3 linked regions of the Zea mays genome follow. The main gene of each other region encodes a partner of the protein of the gene in region 2 in a complex. Links are inferred from orthologs where the notes say so. Each region holds a gene or a part of one and is shown on either strand. Other genes may lie near its edges.

The links.
Region 1: Mediator of RNA polymerase II transcription subunit 13-like (region 2) and mediator of RNA polymerase II transcription subunit 25 share a complex: the UniProt entries of both Arabidopsis thaliana proteins name them as parts of the mediator complex. The link is inferred for Zea mays from reciprocal best matches to the Arabidopsis thaliana genes GCT and PFT1.
Region 3: Mediator of RNA polymerase II transcription subunit 13-like (region 2) and uncharacterized protein LOC100216950 share a complex: the UniProt entries of both Arabidopsis thaliana proteins name them as parts of the mediator complex. The link is inferred for Zea mays from reciprocal best matches to the Arabidopsis thaliana genes GCT and SFR6.

What each region holds. Positions count from the first base shown.
Region 1 is NC_050097.1:178,588,565-178,593,933, forward strand, and holds the end of mediator of RNA polymerase II transcription subunit 25, read right to left. Parts: intron 4,671-5,369; coding exon 4,617-4,670; intron 4,167-4,616; coding exon 4,138-4,166; intron 3,886-4,137; coding exon 3,817-3,885; intron 3,727-3,816; coding exon 3,642-3,726; intron 2,974-3,641; coding exon 2,887-2,973; intron 2,814-2,886; coding exon 2,154-2,813; 3' UTR 1,834-2,153; downstream 1-1,833. UniProt on the Arabidopsis thaliana protein: Component of the Mediator complex, a coactivator involved in the regulated transcription of nearly all RNA polymerase II-dependent genes.
Region 2 is NC_050104.1:30,387,977-30,394,673, reverse strand, and holds part of Mediator of RNA polymerase II transcription subunit 13-like, read right to left. Parts: intron 6,187-6,697; coding exon 5,955-6,186; intron 4,896-5,954; coding exon 4,689-4,895; intron 3,975-4,688; coding exon 3,103-3,974; coding exon of another isoform or gene 3,031-3,102; coding exon 2,664-3,030; intron 1,930-2,663; coding exon 1,677-1,929; intron 1,564-1,676; coding exon 1,479-1,563; intron 1,389-1,478; coding exon 1,301-1,388; intron 1,038-1,300; coding exon 959-1,037; intron 563-958; coding exon 264-562; intron 249-263; exon of another isoform or gene 116-248; coding exon 1-115. UniProt on the Arabidopsis thaliana protein: Component of the Mediator complex, a coactivator involved in the regulated transcription of nearly all RNA polymerase II-dependent genes.
Region 3 is NC_050096.1:232,622,792-232,630,103, forward strand, and holds uncharacterized protein LOC100216950, read right to left. Parts: upstream 3,775-7,312; coding exon 3,739-3,774; intron 3,382-3,738; coding exon 3,207-3,381; intron 3,050-3,206; coding exon 2,526-3,049; intron 2,014-2,525; coding exon 1,837-2,013; intron 1,490-1,836; coding exon 1,109-1,489; intron 973-1,108; coding exon 832-972; 3' UTR 380-831; downstream 1-379. UniProt on the Arabidopsis thaliana protein: Component of the Mediator complex, a coactivator involved in the regulated transcription of nearly all RNA polymerase II-dependent genes.

The sequences.
Region 1 (5,369 bases), on a different chromosome or scaffold from region 2:
CTTGTGAGACGGAGCTCACTTCTGAGATAGAGTTGTCTTCTTTCTCTGCGGCAGGGTAGTGCACCCACCCATCTCTTCCTCTATCCAAATGATCCACCTGATTGGTCCTTTCGGGCATACAGAGTCAGTCTCATCCAGAGCATCACGAGCTTCACCACTACAACCATCTGACATTCATGCACGAATCCATCCCTCGCACTTTGTTTCGCTAGCTGCCCTACCTCGCTCGTAATGGTGCCAGTGCCGGCTCGATGGTGGACTCGGGAATGGTCAATCCAGATGTAGAGAGCTCCGTAAAAGGAAACCTATTTTCATCAAAGACAACATGTCTGGAAATCCAAATTCTGTTAGTTGGTATATGAAGGCAGTGGTAACCTTTCTGTTGTGGTGCATAACCAAGAAAAATACACGGCATCGAACGAGGCTGAAGCTTGTGATCAATGTAAGGTCTGAGGTGAGGCTGTCTGAGAATACGAAGATTCGGGTCTTTATGAAACAATTGTGTGAAGGGAGAGAGAGAAGAAGAAGAGGCGCGGAGCGATTGATGAGATAGACCACACTTGCAAATATTTCATCCCAAAAGGAACCGGGATAGAAGCGTGTTGCATAACAGCAAGGCCGCTAAGGTAATGTGTCTATGTTTGCGCTTGGCCACTCCGTTTTGCTGAGGAGTGTACGGACAACTGGTTTTATGAATGAGTTGTGGGAAAAGGCGAGAGAGAGGCCGGGCGCGAAGCGTGAATGGAACCATGAGACAAGGCCGCGGGAGAAGAGCCAATGTGGGATATTTTCGTACCAGTACCATCTCCACTCCACTCCAATGGTGAGAGTATCTGAACCAGCATAAGCAAAATAAGAGGACAGGTGCGAAGCAAGTCACCGGTGACATGATGAGAAGCTCCTGAGTCTAAGAGCCACTCAGTCGACTGAGGTAGAGAAGGCACTGATGAAATCTGAGACGGCACTGGTTGCGCAACTAAGGCGTGAGCGAGGGTCTCTTTGTGGTGGTCTTTCACCATCTTCCTTTTGATTGGCCTATATCTTAGAATCCGGTCTTTCGCTGTTCCCACAGTCCCTTAGTCACGTACCGGCTGTCGGTCTATCTCATATTCGCAGAAGAAGGAACTTGTCATTACTGTGTCAACATTAGTGGGTCTGGCGCTCGGTTTCCCTCTCTGAAACCTCTCTAGTGACCGTCGGTCTCTGTCTTCAATGGCCCAACGACCCTAACCCTTGAACAGGATCGATCTAACGCTCCTGTAAGCATGAACAGTGTAGCATATGGTCTTATGCCCTTGTCGATGTTTTTCCTCCTGTGCCAGCTAGGGTTAGTTATAGTCCAATATATGCTCAAAGTGTTCTCTTAGTTTTTTATGATCTTTGTGTTCAATTCGGATGCATCTACATATTCTTATAAAAGGTCTTCAACACGTTTTTCAATGTCTTGCTTGAGGTTTTGATCATTTATACCACCAATTTATCTTCATTCAAATACACTTTGCATCCTTTAAACTATATCTATAAATACTAATAAATAATGTTACTTAAAATACTAGCAAGCAATATTAGTTCAAATGATTATGTTAATCATCAAATACTAAAATTTATGCATCAGTCTATTTTACTTACATTCCTATTGCAACAAACAATTTTGCTAATATTGACTAAACGACGAATTAAATGATTGTTTAGCTTATTTAATCATGCTAATATTGAATAAAGTATGAATTAAATGGTTGTTTAGCTTATTTAATCATGTTTAGCTCGATTCAATGTAAATCGTTTAGACAGTTTAAACTGCTTAAATGATTCAACTACCTATTTAACGTACCATTTAAACCCTAAACAACACAGGTCACTTATTTTACTGTAGTTTAAATAATAATTCTGTTATACCTAATAGTTTACGGCTAGTACAACAATGCCATAAAGTCACTCAAGATTACGAGTACACCACCATATCATAAAGTATGCACCTATGCATGGACATCTGGCATTTACCTATCGGTGACAGGGATGCTTAAGTTTTCAGATTAAGTTTTAGCAACACTCCCCGAGTGACTATTCCCTAACCCTGTCAAATGAAGTTGACATCTCAACACTTGGGTCAGTGTAAACCCTCAATTCATCTGATGCCTGCTGATAAAAGGTGCTTAAGGTAGGAAGCCTCCCCCAGGCATGCTGCCCGGCCCCTGTGGCGTAATCTTCCCTTGCATCATCTGCACTGCCCGATTGTGCCCCTGCATGAACTGCTGCCCCATTCCTGTACCCACCATCTGGGGTTGCTGCTGCTGTTGAGGCTGCATCTGTTGCTGCTGCTGCTGCATTTGCTGCATCTGTTGCTGTTGAGGCTGCATCTGTTGCTGCTGCTGCTGCATTTGCTGCATCTGTTGCTGTTGAGGCTGCATCTGTTGCTGCTGCTGCTGCTGCATTTGCTGCATCTGTTGCTGCTGAGGCTGTATCTGTTGTTGTTGTTGTTGTTGTTGCTGCTGCTGCTGCTGCATTTGCTGCATCTGTTGCTGTTGATGCTGCATCTGTTGCTGTTGATGCTGCATTTGCTGCTGCATTGGCTGCATCTGCTGCTGCATCGATTGCATCTGCTGCTGCATCTGCGAAGGTTGCTGCTGCTGCATCGGTTGCATCTGCGGCTGCTGTTGCTGGAGTTGCATCTGTGATTGCTGAAGTGGGAGGCCTTGCGGCTGCATATGCATGTGTTGTTGCAGCTGCTGCTGCTGCTGTTGAAATTGCTGTAGCTGCTGTTGCTGCATTGGTGTCTGCTGAGTTGAGGCCTGCGGTTTGAACACCACCATGTCCTGGGAAAAGGTCATTTAGTAAATGCAGATAATTATGCAGAACATTAATTAATTTAACTACAATCAAGATTACCCCAGGGAAGAGCATGCCAATCAAACGACCTGCTTTGTCAGCCATCGACAGCAACAGAGTTTGCGATGGTAACTGTATCACAGCACACTGAAACCAGGACCAATTGGATATTAGAACTGTATAAAGTAACTGACAGAAAACTAAGTGTATGAAACGACAGTAGATGAACCGCAGCAAAATAACAAAATTACTGGTTAGTTGTCCGTGCGTTGCTACGGTTTTTATATATCATAAAGATAAATCTTATTTAAATAAGATATTTATTCAAACACGGTCTAAACCGGATGTGTGGTGAGATGAGATGAAGTTTTTTCTCTCGCTTTTTTCCACGCTCACGAGATCAGAGATAGTGAGAAAGAAGGTATTGTACTATAGATAGCCAAATAGGTCGTGTCTAGCAGACTGACCCAAGGCACGGCCCATTTAACAGTACCGCGGCCCGACCTGAGAACCATGTCGTGCCTGAGCCACCGTCTCAGTCTATAGTGCCGGCCCGGTCCGACGTGGCATGATTATATTTTTTTAAATTTAAATGTATTAGTATGTATATATATTTACAATATTTATCCTCTGTGTAACACAATATTTAGAATATCTATAGAAGAGGGCCACGGTTCGAGCGCTAGTATGCTCTCTTTTTTCTTATTTTTTTTCCCGTGGGAGAGCGCTGCGCCGCGCTGAGGGAGACCCAATGCACAACGATTTTCCCACTTAAATACAGTAGAGACTAAAAAGAAATAGACTCAGGCACTGACCAGCTTCTTCTCTTGTAGTTGTACAAGAAACCCATGGTGATTTAAAGTCCGAAAAACTAGAAAGTCTGCCTTGCCAACATATTGTCTGCAGAATAACCAAGTAAATATGTCATTCACAGCACATTTACAAGAAAATGATGCAACAAGTTGGCATTGAAAAGAATGAGTAACAAACTTGTTGTTCATATGCTCCTGGGCTATGAGGCGAACAATCTGCATTGTTTCTGGCCAGTCCGCTGCAAGTCTGCATGCAGAAAGTACGGCTTTCAGTTTCCTACTAAGTCTAGATGCATAATTCGAAAGTACCACAAAAAGGTTCCATTGTTAAACATACCCAATGAAAATTTCTAGTATCATTTCTTTCAAGACAAGGACAACGACAACATAACATCAACTAACAAGAAATACTTACCTCAATCATAGTAATCAACAGAAAACACTGTATAACAGAGATTCAAGAAAATGTAAGGTTTATTGCAAAAAATCAGACACTTACGTTTCAGACGCTGTTCCACTCCTATAACCCTGTCAGACATTGTTAAAGTGAGAAATGTCAAAACAAAAAAGCGAAAGAGCTGCACAAGTAAGACTCCAGCTTTGAAGGTGATAACAAACTATGGCTCAAAATGGGCATCCGCAGCAATTGATACAGTCCATTTCTAAAGGGGTTAAATTCTCTCTACCTGAAGTTTAAAAAAACACGATTACAACTTCAGAAGTTTATTCAAAACTAGTTTATTTCCAGTCTTAGCAAAAAGATGGGTCAAAGATATCACAAAACTTAGTTGAACGAGCATAGAAGTGTTGTTCATACAGATCTACAAAGAGCATAGAAGTGTCATCATATCTCAGGAACTCAGGAACCATTATTTCTGCTAAGTAATGCTGCAGAACAAAAAACTACTAGAAACTTTTATAATTTCTTACAATATACTATATTTTTTTGGAGACCAATAATGCAAAACAAAGACTTACTTCGAGTTTACAAATTATTACAGGCTGTCCTTGCCTTTGGCCAGATAAAGTTCCCTGAAATACAGATAAATGGCAAACATCATGTCAGGGTCTAAGGAGGCCCACGGAGGAGCTGCGGCAGCAGCAACCATGGGCCCTCCAAGGGGATTAGATAAGAATAGTTAGAGATAATATTAGAAGATTAGTTGAGATTATTTAGGAGATTAGTTGAAAAGCAGGAGGGGTGTCGATGGGCAGGAACGTCGGCCGGGGGCGTCTACCCACGGCCGAGCAAGAAGAGGGTTTCTCCCTTCTAATTCTTGTCTGCTTTATTTCTCATCCATTGATTACATAAATAGACCGGCTGGCCGCCCCTATCTAGCTAGAGATCCTTATCTCCTTAAAACTCTCCTAAAAACTCTCAACAAACTACTAACTAATAACCTTCCTAGATAATCTCAACTAATCTCCTAAATAATCTCAACTAATCTTCTAATATTATCTCTAACTATCCTTATATAATCCCCTTGGAGGGCCCATGGTTGCTGCTGTCGCAGCCCCTCCGTGGGCCTCCTTAGACCCTGACACATCAGTTGTTGAAAATCTCTGGCCAACAAACAAGATTGTATGCAACATAACTCCCAATTTTTGCACTACAGTATCATAGCCACAGCAGGGCCTAAGGCTCCAATTAGCAGTGTTATCAAGTCATCCAGTTAATCGTGATTAGTCGTCCTAGTTGGTATCCTGGACTCGACTAGGGGCTACAACTCG
Region 2 (6,697 bases):
GTAACTTTCTTTCCCTTTCCGGGGATGAAATAACATACCCAAGAGCAACAGAACATTCTACTAGCGTCTGTAGAATTGCACAAGGTTCTGGAAATGGGCAAACTACATAAATTACCTGCATGGATAAAGGGCTAGTGGTGTTAAAATAGGGTGAATAATTTACCATGTTGTGAATATCATTTATATCCACTACTGTGAATATTAAATGTTAAGTTACATGAATCAGATCAACGGCAAAGGAACAAAAAGGAAAAAGATCTTACTGTGCAAGGTCCACTACTGCTCTCTTTCTGATTTGTAGATATGTTTGAAGTCAGCTTTATATCCTTAAGTATCCTTGAAATAGATGTTACAAAACTTTTCACGCTCCAATGTTTTGAAAAAGCTTGAAGACAGTCACTTGTTGAACTGATGGGACCTAAGTGGCCACAGCGAACCTTCTTCAACTGCTCAGGACAATCAACTAGAACAAGTCCTGAAGGCAAATATTTTCCAGGAGATAGTTCCATTTGTCCTCCATTGTTTTGGGGCGAATGAGTTCCCAGTTTGCAAACTTCATAAACTACAGGAACACAAAATTAATGATGACAAATGCTATTAAAAACACTTTGCATCATAATGAACTGGAACAAAGGTTTGGAGATTAAGAACATGCTGAAGTACATAAATCTGCTGGAGTGGCAAAAGTATTTCTTGCCTACATCAATCGTTCTGTACTGTTGTAAAAAAAAGGGGGGGATACGTGAATCATGTTTATGGTGACATCTGGTTTATGTTTAAAATATAGTGTTATGAGCCATATTAAAAGCATATAAGCTTATGTACTTACGTTCAGCTGCATGTACTATAAATTGGCAATTATTTAGGGATAGACTCAACGCGGGGAATAGATTATATCAGCAATATTATTCATGAGAAATAACTAAAGAAAATACGAAGCAAGAAAAACATCACTTGCCTGTTCCAAGCTGCATGAAAAAATCAGCTACCGCCGAAGTCAACATATCAATATCAGGGCAAAGTGCATAGTAAGTAACCTAAAAGAGAACAGATGACAAAATCAATGAAACGAATATATAGTCACTAACTGTATATGTCGGAGGGGGGGTGCTGCTGCGGCATTTGCGCTATGGTGGCTTTGCTGTTACAAAAAAATATTCACGAACCCGGCTAAAAGCAGTGCTAAAAAGATAGTTTCAAGTAGTTAGACCCTGTTTGGAGAGGAGGAATTCCCCAGAAGCAGCATGAAAGGAAAGGAGCAAAAGAAGGTAGTGACAGAACACTGCCAAACTAATCTTACAGGCTTCGGCAAGGCATAAGGTTCAAAAGGAGCTTTCTCCCATGTTTTAAGACTATTCACCGAGGCCTTCAACCAATCATCCTGGTAACTGCAGTTTTAATGCTTGCATCAGTAACTCATGCAAATACATATGCTTAAGCAGGATAAAACAATTCATGGAAAATAAAAGATACATTACCCGACTAGCATAGAAGGTGAAGGGAGGACAGCAATGGTTGGTCTGACACGGTGATATCCCTTTTGGAACTCTAATTCTGAAATGCCTGCAGTGACACGCAAATCTCCTGTGATACAATCATCGTCTCTTCCTCCCTTTGGCAATATTATTTTTGCAGCAGAATTATCAAGTTCAGAGTGCAGGTCACAGCAGGTATACCTCGATTGCTACTGGTTGGCTGGGGTGGGCTCATTGAATCTCCACCAATGGACAACGAACTTGACGGCTCCAGGATATCACCACTGGAGTACTGAAAAGAGTATGCATCTCCCGTACCTGCAGACTCAGCAGCATTGCCTCGACCCCTGCACCAATCAATTACTGATAACGGGCCATCCATGTTTGCAAAGGCAGCTTTAAGAGCTACTCTTATATCTGACTGCAACAAGCTAATCATGGATGGCTCTGAAACCTGTACAAAGGGGACTGAACATGAATACTGGAATATGGAGAAACAATGTACCACACAAGTACCAGTGATAATAAAAAAAAACTTGACCTGTGGGGGTAGGACAGCCCCCGGGCATCATATATAGAGAAGACCTTCTCACGCAGGTCAAGAAAATCCCCCGAACCTTTGCCCCACTCATACACTGTAGCCCATGTAAGAACACCCATGACCAGGGTCAGGCCTTAGACATGTGCTTTGATGTGGGGCAGCCGAAGGGATTTTTTAAACGGGTACATATTTAGTGCAACCATACAAATTGGCGCAACCATACAACCAAGACACAAACATGGAAGTGGGAAGGCCTTCTTTTTTTCTCGAACTCGCAAGAGGATTGCGTGTTATATTAATAAGAGAAGAAGAAAAGATACAAAGAACTAGGGGGGTGGGGAAAACCCCAGCAACCCCCCTAGGAACTAAACAACATCAGCCTGCGCCAAAACAGACAACACAAGGAGCCCTCTGCCTCCTGCAGCACCCCATGTTTGTGTCTTGGTTGCATGGTTGCACCAATATGTATGATTGCATTAGATATGTTCCCTTTTTTAGACCTAGCCTGAAATTCGCTCCTAGAAGAGCCAAACTTAGAATCTGAAGAGTGCTAGTCACACCACCTAACCAACTCAGCCCTTTCGCAAGTACCAGTGGTAATAAAAAATAAAAAAAATGAAGCAAGCACATCCAGCCTAAGATTTTACCTCTGCAGAAAGTGGATCGACTAAATCAACACCAGCGCAATCCTTTGAATGGCATGTTCCTAATAGGCCACCACAGCCAGCATGAACCATAGAAGGATCACAAGAAAATCCACGTCTCTTTTGCTCATCCAGGGAAAGCCAGAAAAAAGAACCGTCCCCGTCATCCATATCAAGTGACATATCAACAAACGAAGTAGATTGTTGAACAAGCAGAGTCATGGCACAGAGAAGATCTACAACAGGTTGTCTTTGTATAGACAGACTTGGGCTTGCACCAGTTAATGTGTTAGCAGACAAAGACTCAAGAGATTTAGGCCCTTTAGGTGTAACAACAGGCCTCCAAACTCCCACATTGTCCATTAAGGATCTGTCAAACATTTCATGATCAATATCACTAGATAACCTTACAGTCATAATTTCTTTTTTTCTCATGTCATACCTGGGGGTGAGATCTGATTTGTTGCTGACATTTGTCTGTATGAAGCTGGATGTTGCACTGTTAAACTCGGCAGATGCTTTGCTTCTCAGAGACAATAGTGTATGCCTAATTCTGCACATGGCAGCCTGGAACGTGATGCATTCAATTTCAGTTGCCAAAGCAGTCTTCATAGACAGCAGAAAATAGCCAGCATTGAACATGTTGCCACTCTTCTTTTGTGAAACAAGAGAAAAATTAAATGAAGTCACACCAGAAATAGGTGGTGACAATTCTCCCTTAGAGGGCTGTGTATCAGTACTCTTTAAGATCTTATCACTCCCTTTATTCCCACCTTGGACAAGTGTGTACAAGTTTGATGAACTAATATCATGTAAATGATTACCAGATATTAGTTTAGAAGTCTTATCTGGCTTGTCTCCTGTGGATTCAATTTGAGAGCTTTGTGCAACATCATATGAATAAACTCTTGCACTAAAACTAGAACTGCCTGGTTTCTTTGATCTAGGAAAGTATGGATTTGTAAACAATGGTGTTGGGGCCTCAGCAATCAAAATTTCAACAGCTGCATATTCTGGAGCAAATGTGAGCTTTGCTTCAGCTTTGGTAAGATAATCAAATCTTCCAGATGATAAAACTTGCGAGTGGGACTGTGCAGGTGTTGCAGTATCATTATGAGGTTCTTGAACTTTAGCAACAACATCTTGAGCTGGGGCCATAATTTGATGGTCAAATGCATCCAAAGTTGTGAAACCAACAGGAGAAAGTCTTTGTTCAGGGATATCCATTGCTGTTGATGGACTATCTGTGAATGTGACATCTCCACAGTCTGAAGCAGGAATTACTAGAGCATGTGATTCAGCAGTACCTGGAGGCTATATGAAATGGAATTTTCAGTTACATGAATTAATACTACAGGTAAATCACAAAGATGCCACTCTAAACAGCCATGTAATCATAGAGGGATGTATTTCCCCATCATCAAAGGTAGCATGCTAACTCCTTAAATAAAACTTATATGATGACAGTTTCCCCATCATCAAAAGTAGCATGGTAAATCTTCAAATAAATCCAAGGAGCAGATAATTCAATAGTCATTTCACAACTAGTTAAAGTAAAAGTTAAATAGGGGATGAGAATGCACGCTATAAGAAATTTCTTTCACCTTTAGTGACACCACAATTAAATGTTTTTCAATCAATGAGTTTAAATTATGAGCTCTAACAGAGGTCATTGGTTATAACTTAAACACTATAAAAAACAGTAGTGACGTAGTTGGTTAAAATAGAGACAAGGAACCAGTAGTAAATTTCTCTTGTAACATTAGTGTAGCAATGCAGCAATATTAAATGCAACTCAAAGAGTCAATATAGTTTATTCCAGTTAGCAGATTGCGGCTGATGACATATACATGTCAGAATTAAAATGTACTGGATTTTAAATGTCATATTTCTATCATAGGCTCATAGCCATTTAAGTTGAGCTCAGCACTATCAAAGAGTGCCTCAGACTTGATTGAGTCACTGTTTGAATGTTATAGTAATGGCTCCGAAGGTAAATAAAATACTACAAGTATATAGAATACCTACCTCACCAAAATCTAACTCCTCTTGTTGAAAGAAGTCACTAAAATCTCCAAACTCTGACAGAAGTATATTGATGTCCATAACGACACCCTCATCGTCCCAGCCCCAAGAGTGTCCAACCTGACCATTCGGGTCTTGTATGTTTTCACAAACATCTTTGCCAGTATGAGAAGAGACTTCTGTTAATTCAGAACGAGGCCGCTTGGATACCTAATTACACAAAGCATCATGATTATACTGACACCCCTACATTCATGTAAAGAGTATCACAATATTGCTTATAAGGCCGGTTCCTAAAAAAGAAATGGTTAACATCTCAACAGTCTCAAAAGTGCAACGTGTAGATGTGACTGAATCACACAAACAGAAATCTGGCACATGAGCTCCATAAAGGCAAGAAATTACAGACAACTCTGATGGTTTTAGCATTGAAGGAACAAAGACATGGTCAAGGGCCACCGCGTTATCTAAGCAGAGGTAAAGCAGATTTATATTTGCGCACAGTTTAGTCACACAAATTATTAACGTGCAGGAATCTAGCCTAGTTCAGTCAGAATCTGTGTGTACACCATCACCAACCAAGGTGGTCATGACTCTTTCTCAAAATAAATCTATGTGAGAAGTGAAACATGTGCATCCGTGTATCTCCATTTATGATTTATCTATTACTAGCCAGCTTTGTGTCTCGTTTTTAACTACAACCATCACATAGTACTTAAAAGTATCATGTATTTTTGAATCAAAATTATGAATAATTAAGTACATTTTTTCCAGATTGTAAGTTGTTCTGACTTTTCTAGATACATAGTTTTTAATGTGTATCTAGGTGCATAGCAAAAATTATGTATCTAGAAAAGCTAGAACTGCTTACAGTTTGGAATGGAGGGAGTAGGTCAACATACTTTTTCACATTTCTGTATCTCTTTGAGGATGACTAAAATGTCTCAAAGGTATAAATTGTTCTCCACAAATAAAAATAAGAATATAGTCACTTATGTCATACTTAACTTAATTATTGATTGCTTCAAGCGTTATGCATTTACAAGAAGAGAAAGCTGATGGTATATTAAGCCAGTCTGTCCTCCCTTTTGCATTTGTATCTCATTCGAGATGGTTGGTAATCACATGGATAATCTCCCATATATCAAAAGTATATCATAAATATCAATAACTTGTTGAGAGAAAAGAATACCATTTTGTGTTTTAAATACAGGAAAAAGGTCAACTCAGTATACTGAAATATGTGAGTAAAGGAATAGATTACAGTACCATCTTACTACCGAGAGTATCATTGTTGGATGGCATATCAGACTGACGACAGGACATTGAGTCAGCATCAGCTACAATATCACCTTCAGTAGCAACTGCACGCTGACTTCCATCAGAAGTGCTACTCACACTACTAACACTGCTGGCCATGCTGTTGCACTTGTTTTTTTTCCTTCTTAGTCTCAGATAGTTAGAATTGACTCCAAGCCCACAAGAAGATCCAAGGAAAGAGCTGTTAGCAGAGGACACCAATTAGAGTAGGGAAACTATGGACATGACAGAGGTTAATAACCAGCACATATAATACAAAATGGAAACCTCATATAGAACAGTTTACTAATATTTCTTGGGTATGACCGAACACTATTAAATTTTACATGGTACAAATAAATTCGTTTTTCTTTTTGCAGGAATTTTAGTGTGTATGAACCATGGTCCATCAGCAACAAGGATATACAGTTCTAAAGAGCTCTCAGATGTACTTGACAATACTCAGTCTAAATATAATAATTCACAACCTGCTGATGGTTCTAGCTCTTGGGAGACTGAGGCCAAGATGATGATTCACAGAGGTATGGGGTGATTGTCAAGTGTCTCGGAAACAAACAGAAGTATGGGGTGATTGTCAAGTGTCTCGGCTCCCAGAGTCGCCAGACCGCGACTACGTAACTCGTAGTCGCGCTCCAGACCTCACCACGAGGTTATGCCCCTCTGCTGGTGGCTTGAGATTGGTAGGGAGAAGA
Region 3 (7,312 bases), on a different chromosome or scaffold from region 2:
AACTAAGGTCCAAAAACTACACGTGGAAACAAAGAGCTTTAAAATTCAATTAAAATTATAAAGATATGCTAACATTTGTAATATAAAATAAGTATATTTAGATTAATCACAAATATAATTTATAATAAACTTATTTGAAGACATAACTGTTAATAGTATTTGTCATAGATCAAAGTTAAACTTGTTTAACTGGTATAAATTTTATAATTACATTTTTTAGGACGGAGAAAGTACATTACTCAAGAAACTGCAACAATACAGCAAACAGACAAGCACGCCGACGTCTCATTTCGAAATGAAACATAAACAGAGTGCCAAGAGGCAATACTTTCTTTTTTTCTGGAACGTGTCCCAAGGAACAATACTTGATCTCTTTTTTAATGGAACACGATCCCAAGAAGTAATACTTGATCTTTTGTTTTTTTTTCTGGAACACGCTGGAAGCTGTGTATCATTGTCTTAAAAAGAAAAAGGAGTAGAACCTTACCAACACACACCATGCGCTACTAAACCTTTGACAAAACATGAAAAGTACGTCCAGCGCTGAACAAGTAACGATGCTACACCTTTTTAGCAAGGAAAGTCACTGGTTAATAATACACTAGACAGCATAATGCAAATGTCAGTTACATATTCAGACCCCCAGAATAGCTCCTAATTCTACCAGACTTCCACAGTGGTCGTGCCACGTGCATGTGCCTGTAGACCAACCATCTGGCATGAACGGCTGAACCTGATCCTAGTAGCCTAGCGTTAGATGCATAACTATGGAACTCCATACATGTTTGTCAGGAAAGCAATTAGCAGCGAAGTTGTTGCCAAATACAGCGCTCAAACAACTTTCACCCATGAACCCCCACACATTGGGCAAGCATGGCTCCACCGACTGATCCACCAAGCCTCACGTTCATTTGTCTGATTTGGGGCACCAGGATGCGCAAATGCACAAGTTTGCCGCAAACAACGTATGCACTAGAAAGAAGAAACAACAAATTTAGGCATCGAAGTATATTAGGGGAGTAACCAGGATTCTCTAATAAAGAACTCGTCAAGGAACTATGAACCCAGACTTGACAGCAAAAGGTAAAGCGACCATAACCATACTCACCTTGTACCAATCACCATCGAGACCTGTTCTCCACACAGCCGTGACAACATCTCTTCGAGATCCCATGACACCTAGATAACCTCCAAGACCTACAGATGTTTTCAGACCAAATGCAGCATCTCTTTCAGATAACCTACGCTTTCTTGGCCAAAGATCAATCCCAATGGAACTGACAGCATCCACTTCCATGTCAGACAAATGAGAGTTGATGGAACCACTAATTTTTAGACGAGGCATATTGTCCAATGGACCAAAATCATCTGGTTCTGACCAGGGTCCACCAAACATGTTGCGTCTATGCCATTCTTCCGCAGGAGGTTGCAGTTCTAATTCTCGAAGTAGAAGTCCAGCAGCATCAGCTCCTCGTGGACGAGGCATATTCTACAGAGTTACAGACATAGGAAACAATGAAATATTGAAAATAGATGGGGAAGTAGGCATCGAGGGATCACTCAAAATGCCATGTCTAAGGCCCTGGCAGTAATAGTGCATGTTTCTATAAAAAATGGCTAATACAAAAAAGATAACTTCTGCTAAGAGAATCCTAATCAACATTTAAAGGTGGTCGTCCTGAATTCAGTTCGAAACAGGAAGACTTGCAATATCTCTGAGTCGTGCACTTGAAAATCAACTTCTACTCCTATAATTGATAGATGTTGGTAGCTCAAAATGGCCACAAATAGTACGAAAGCGACCATTAGAAACTTCCATGAGAATTTGACTAGTACCTGCATATGGGGACCAAGAGACGCTTCCACTACCTCAGGGAGCACTGTGTAGTTGCCGTCAATGTAGTGCAGCCTTATGATAATGCTACTGGAACCAACCTGAGAGGCAGGCAATGGATGCGGCAAGGTAGATGTCCTTCGACATAGGTCAACCAGTATAAGAAAAAGGACCTTGACCTACCAACAATGAAATAAAATTACAGAGATAATTAGATAAACTAGACAAAAAGAAATCTTCCAAAGAATAGAAAGACAGATCTGTAAAGCATCTGATAAATCACTCAATAGAGATCATGAACGACATATGCAATCAAACTGTTGTTCATGCTAGGCTGGACAAAATTTTAAACTGCTTAAATCAAGGGTCCAAAATAACCTACATACGCAATTGCACTCTATGATGGCTATATCGACATGTGTTCTCCCATAGCAACCAAAGCTAGACATTTCCAAAGAAATGCAGGAGCCAAAACATAGTTGTTTCCAAACTAATCACTATGTTCAGGACTTCAGGTCACCAGTTTTCCAGCGCATTTGGCACATCGTCAGCTTCTTCACACTAACTCCCAAAGTTCAAATGCCAACGATCAGTCCCAGTTTGGTAGCACTAACTCCCAAAGTTTCCTTAGTATAACTCAATATTAAACTCTGTAAAAAATACTATATCTTGTCAAGAATTTGATAATCACCTCATCTGAAGTATAACCTTGCCCAGCGTTGCCAGAACCTATTCTAACAGATTTGCCAATTGGATTTTCTTCAGGACCCTTTGCACCACCAAGAACAAATTGTCCACCACGCGCAGAGTGACCTTCTTCTACTTTGGCAGCCCCTAGACCAGATCTTACTGTCGAACTGTTATCTTCTGTCTTAGCATTCATCATGTGTTGTATTTTCTGCATGGCAGAATCTTGATTTTTTTGCGAACTGGCAAGTAACCTTGGTGATTGCCTTCTTCGGAAAAGCAGACAAAATAGCAGTAATTGACATAATCTATGAAGAAAATGGCAATCCCCAATAAGTCTCACAGCAGGTGTGCCAGGGAAAGTGCCCGTATTAATGCTGATGGGCATAAATGATGTCCTCGTGCTCATTGGATTCTGTGTTGCAGTGGCAGCACCATCAGAATTGTTACTAATCTTAGCAATTGCACCTTGGACCCACTCCTGCATTTGTGAGTTCCCTGTTGCAGATGTTGATCCCCCTTGATTACCTGAAATTTGAAGGAGCATCAAGATGCTAGCAGCACTAAATAAACAACACTTTAAGCCTCAAATTTGCAATGAAGAAAACATAAGGTTTGGATGTACTTTTTTGCGCACAAACAAGAGAAAAACACAAGATTTAGCAAGCTAGCAGGCATAGCTAACCTTGATTATTTGATGGCGAAGGAGAACTGTTTGTTGGACTTGTAACCATATTTCTAGAAGTGCCTGTGGTAGAAGATGGCCCCACATGGCTCGCCAGAGTTCGACAGAAACTCGCATAACGCCGCAAGCGAGTTATGAAATGTGATGCTAAATCAAGAACAGCATCAACGTAACCCTGCATTTGAATGCAAATAAAATAAGCTATTTCCTAGTAACATAAAGAATCCCTATGCAGATAACCTGTGCTGAAATTTATACAATACTCAACATTAAAAGGCTGTAATACACCAGTTTTGGCAAAGGATAACAGACATTGCACATGAGTTCACCAACATAACTAAAGTACCGTTTACATGGAAGTGATCTAGCATACCAATATACTGCTCACTACTTTATAAAATGAAAAAAAACGGCTCAGTAGCAAGTCTTAAAAGAATAAAGTCAGTAAAAAGAAAGAAAGAATGTTAGATAGCTGAATTTAAGTTCCATGGCTATGAAATAGAAACAACTTGCATAAAGGAGACAGCTTGACCTGGATGTTTGGAAGCAGAGCTGGCTCAACAGTCATTTTGTCAGCATCGATGCTGGATAACATATCACTGGAAGCTTGCCAGGGCTCAGGTAGCAGAGTTGATGGATTTGTAAGGGCAGACTCGATTCCTTTGCCTAGCATATCCAGAAGTAATCTTGCTTGCATGTCCAACACAAGTGCCCGTACATCTTGGGCATTTGTTCCTTCCAACAACCTACACTTAATCCTATCAAGGTTCTGCATGTACAATTGTACATTCATTAATCATAAAAGGAAGAAAGGTAGTAAATCAAACATTGAAGCCAAAAAGGTATAAAATATGAAATATCACCCAAAATTCCAACTGTCATATTAACTCATCACAACCCAAAATATCATATGAATCAGCTGTCCAGCCAGTCAATTAATTTAGAGACACCTGCTGAGATGCCAATGATTTTCAACCCAAAGGCAAACAGCCACTGGAAAAGTTTCTAGCATCATTTTGCGGTTAAAATAAAAAAATGCCACTGTTGTAAATGCCCATTAAAATGTACAATTTACACATACTTGTGGCCAGGGGCGGCCCCGGTCCAATAATACTTATATCATATCATAATTTTAGTCCATAAAATCCAACAAAAATAGGTAACAGCCTTCCATCTAACCGTGGCATCTAGCACCCGCACCCGATCTCGTCCACGCAGCCATGTCGCCACAGCACACCAGCACCAAACAGTAGTGCCGCACACACGCGCGCCTGGCCCCCATCCGTGCCATAACACTGCAGTAGTGCCAGTGCCGCATCACAAAGCCTGACGGGCAGCGCACTGTGCACCCACGCCGCCACGCAGGACACGGCCACGGACCAGCGTGCATGGCCGACACACCTGCAGCAGCTAGCAGCGTGTAGGCGCCCAGCAGCCAGCACAAGGTGCAGGCCAGCGCAAGGCGCACGCTGCAGCCAGCACAAGATTTTGAAACGTTTTTAAGGCATAAGAACTCGAAAGATAAATTTACGTTGCAACCGTAATTCATGAGGCTATGGCCAGCAGATCGTGCATATGACCGTGTAAAACATTGTTTTACACTGTAGAATGCACTATTTATAGAGTGGGGTTTGAAATATGAGATGAGGATGAGTAAGCTGATGGAGATATCTTGAGCGGTATATATTGAGTATTGTATTTATAGATTTCGTACCTACTTATTTTGTCTACATGTGTCTTGAAGATTTGAATTATACTTGTTACTTTGTTATATTAAACATTGATATATCATTTAGTTCAGCCTAAAAAAACTAACCTTCTTTTAGCAGCCCCTCCTTTGATCCATTCCTGGATCCACCACTGCCTGTGGCAGCAGAACATTAACAGTTCTATATTTGAAGAAAACAGTATATTGATCTGTGTTATGCTATAATTCACTTTAAAATCCAAAGCTATGCCAGTAGATAGACATGAATGTATATTTGGTTATAGCAATATCAAAATGAACCATATTCACTGAAAGCGTATGAACACCATCCACACTGTAGTCTAATACCAGTGGGACAAAAATATGGTTTTGCAAGCTTATTAGTTACAGATAATAGTGATGCATACAAATATAATAATATTTTTTTGCTATAAAAAGACTCATACAGTGGGTACAGATCTTTTAATAGTTGTTAAATATAAATATTATAATAAGATTTATGACCACTCTCATAAGTAGGAAATAGTGAGAGAGAAAAAAGAAATAGCAGGGCATGGAACAATGCACTCTAATGTGTTCTGCTAGTTGATATGGAAACAAGCAAAATAGAAACTGGTCCATGTGCATGAAAGAAAGAAGCCAAGGAAACAGTATGTATACCAACATCTACATAAATTTCTCATTCGAACTCAACTGTCTGACTTATAGTACTCAGATAAGAACAATAATAGTTTCAACGGAGCTATGATGGGTAGGTTTAGAATATTAATTGAGGATATGGCCCTAAAAGAAATACCCTTACATGGCAGACAGTACACATGGTCCAACCAACAAGATGTGCCTGTTCTAGTCAAGCTCGATCGAGTGTTTTGCTCAGTGGATTGGGAATTGCTCTTCCCCAATGTCCTTCAGAGTACCGATTCACATGATTCAGATCATTGTCCTCTAATCCTGGGGCTTAGTGACAATAAATCCGGAAGAAGGCGTTTCCACTTTGAATCCTTTTGGACCAAGATCGAGGGTTTTCAGGATACTGTTATTGTTGCATGGAATTCTTTTGAGCTGAATTCCATGTCCTTTTAAATCTCTGGATTTGAAGCTGCAAAACAGCCAAAAGATTGCAGGCCTGGAGCGAAAAGCAGGCTGGGCATGTGAGATCCCAACTAGCACTTGCCAAAGAAATCTTACACATGCTGGAAATAGCCTAGGATGGAAGAGTGCTCAGCCCTGCTGAGCTATGGCTCAAATTCAGACTCAAAAAACAAGCGTTATTGTTATCCTCTTTCAAGCGTACTATGGCAAGGTTGAGAGCAAGAATTTCATGGCTCAAAGATGGGGATGCAAATACAAAATTGCTTCATCTTCATGCCCATCACCGTAAGAGGAAAAACTGTGGCAAGGTTGGTTGATGCCTTGATGGGGATCAAATCCTAACCGGCCATGGGGAGAAAGCTGATTGTGTGGACCAATTCAACACCAATCTGCTGGGGATCAATAAGGATAGGGTAAGGGTGATTGAGCTGGATGCTCTTGGGATGCCTAGTTATGACCTGGCTGATTTGGAAGCCGCCTTTTCTGAGCAAGAAGTCTGGGATGTAATCAAATGCCTTCCTTCAGATAAGGCACAGTCCCTGATGGCTTCACAGGAAGGTTCTACAAGGTTTGCTGGGCAATTATTAAACCTGATATTATGGCTGCCATCTCTGCTGTTTGGGGCAGAAACTTTGTCCATTTTGGGCGCCTCAACACATATTATATCACCTTGATCCCCAAAAAAGATAGAGTTGATAATATTAAAGATTTCAGGCCTATCAGTTTGGTGCATAGTTTTGTCAAGTTAATCACCAAAATTCTTGCTAATAGATTGGCCAGCAAGCTCAATGTGATGATGTCACCTAATCAGAGTGCATTTATAAAAGGGAGGTTCATTCAAGATAACTTCATGCTAGTCCAGCAGACCTCCAGGTTGCTTCACCAACAAAACAAGGCCAGTTTGCTGCTGAAATTAGATATTACAAAGGCTTTCGACTCTCTTTCTTGGCCTTTTTTGATTGAGGTAATGAAGAAGCTCAGTTTTGGGCAAATTTGGAGAGATTTGATATGTGGGCTGCTGGCTACCTCCTCTACACAGATTCTGTTGAATGGTTTTCCAGGTTGCCATATTAAGCATCGGAGGGGACTCCGTCAGGGAGATCCCCTTTCACCCATGCTTTTTATTTTAGTTATGGACGTTCTTGTTTTCCTGTTTTCAAAGGCAGAGAAGGATGGTTTGCTGCAGCAACTTTCTAGTAGAAAAGAGCTCCATCGAGTTTCTATGTACACTGATGATGTGGTCCTTTTTCTTATGTCCAACACCAGCAGACATAGATCTTACTCTTAACATTCTACAGCTGTTTGG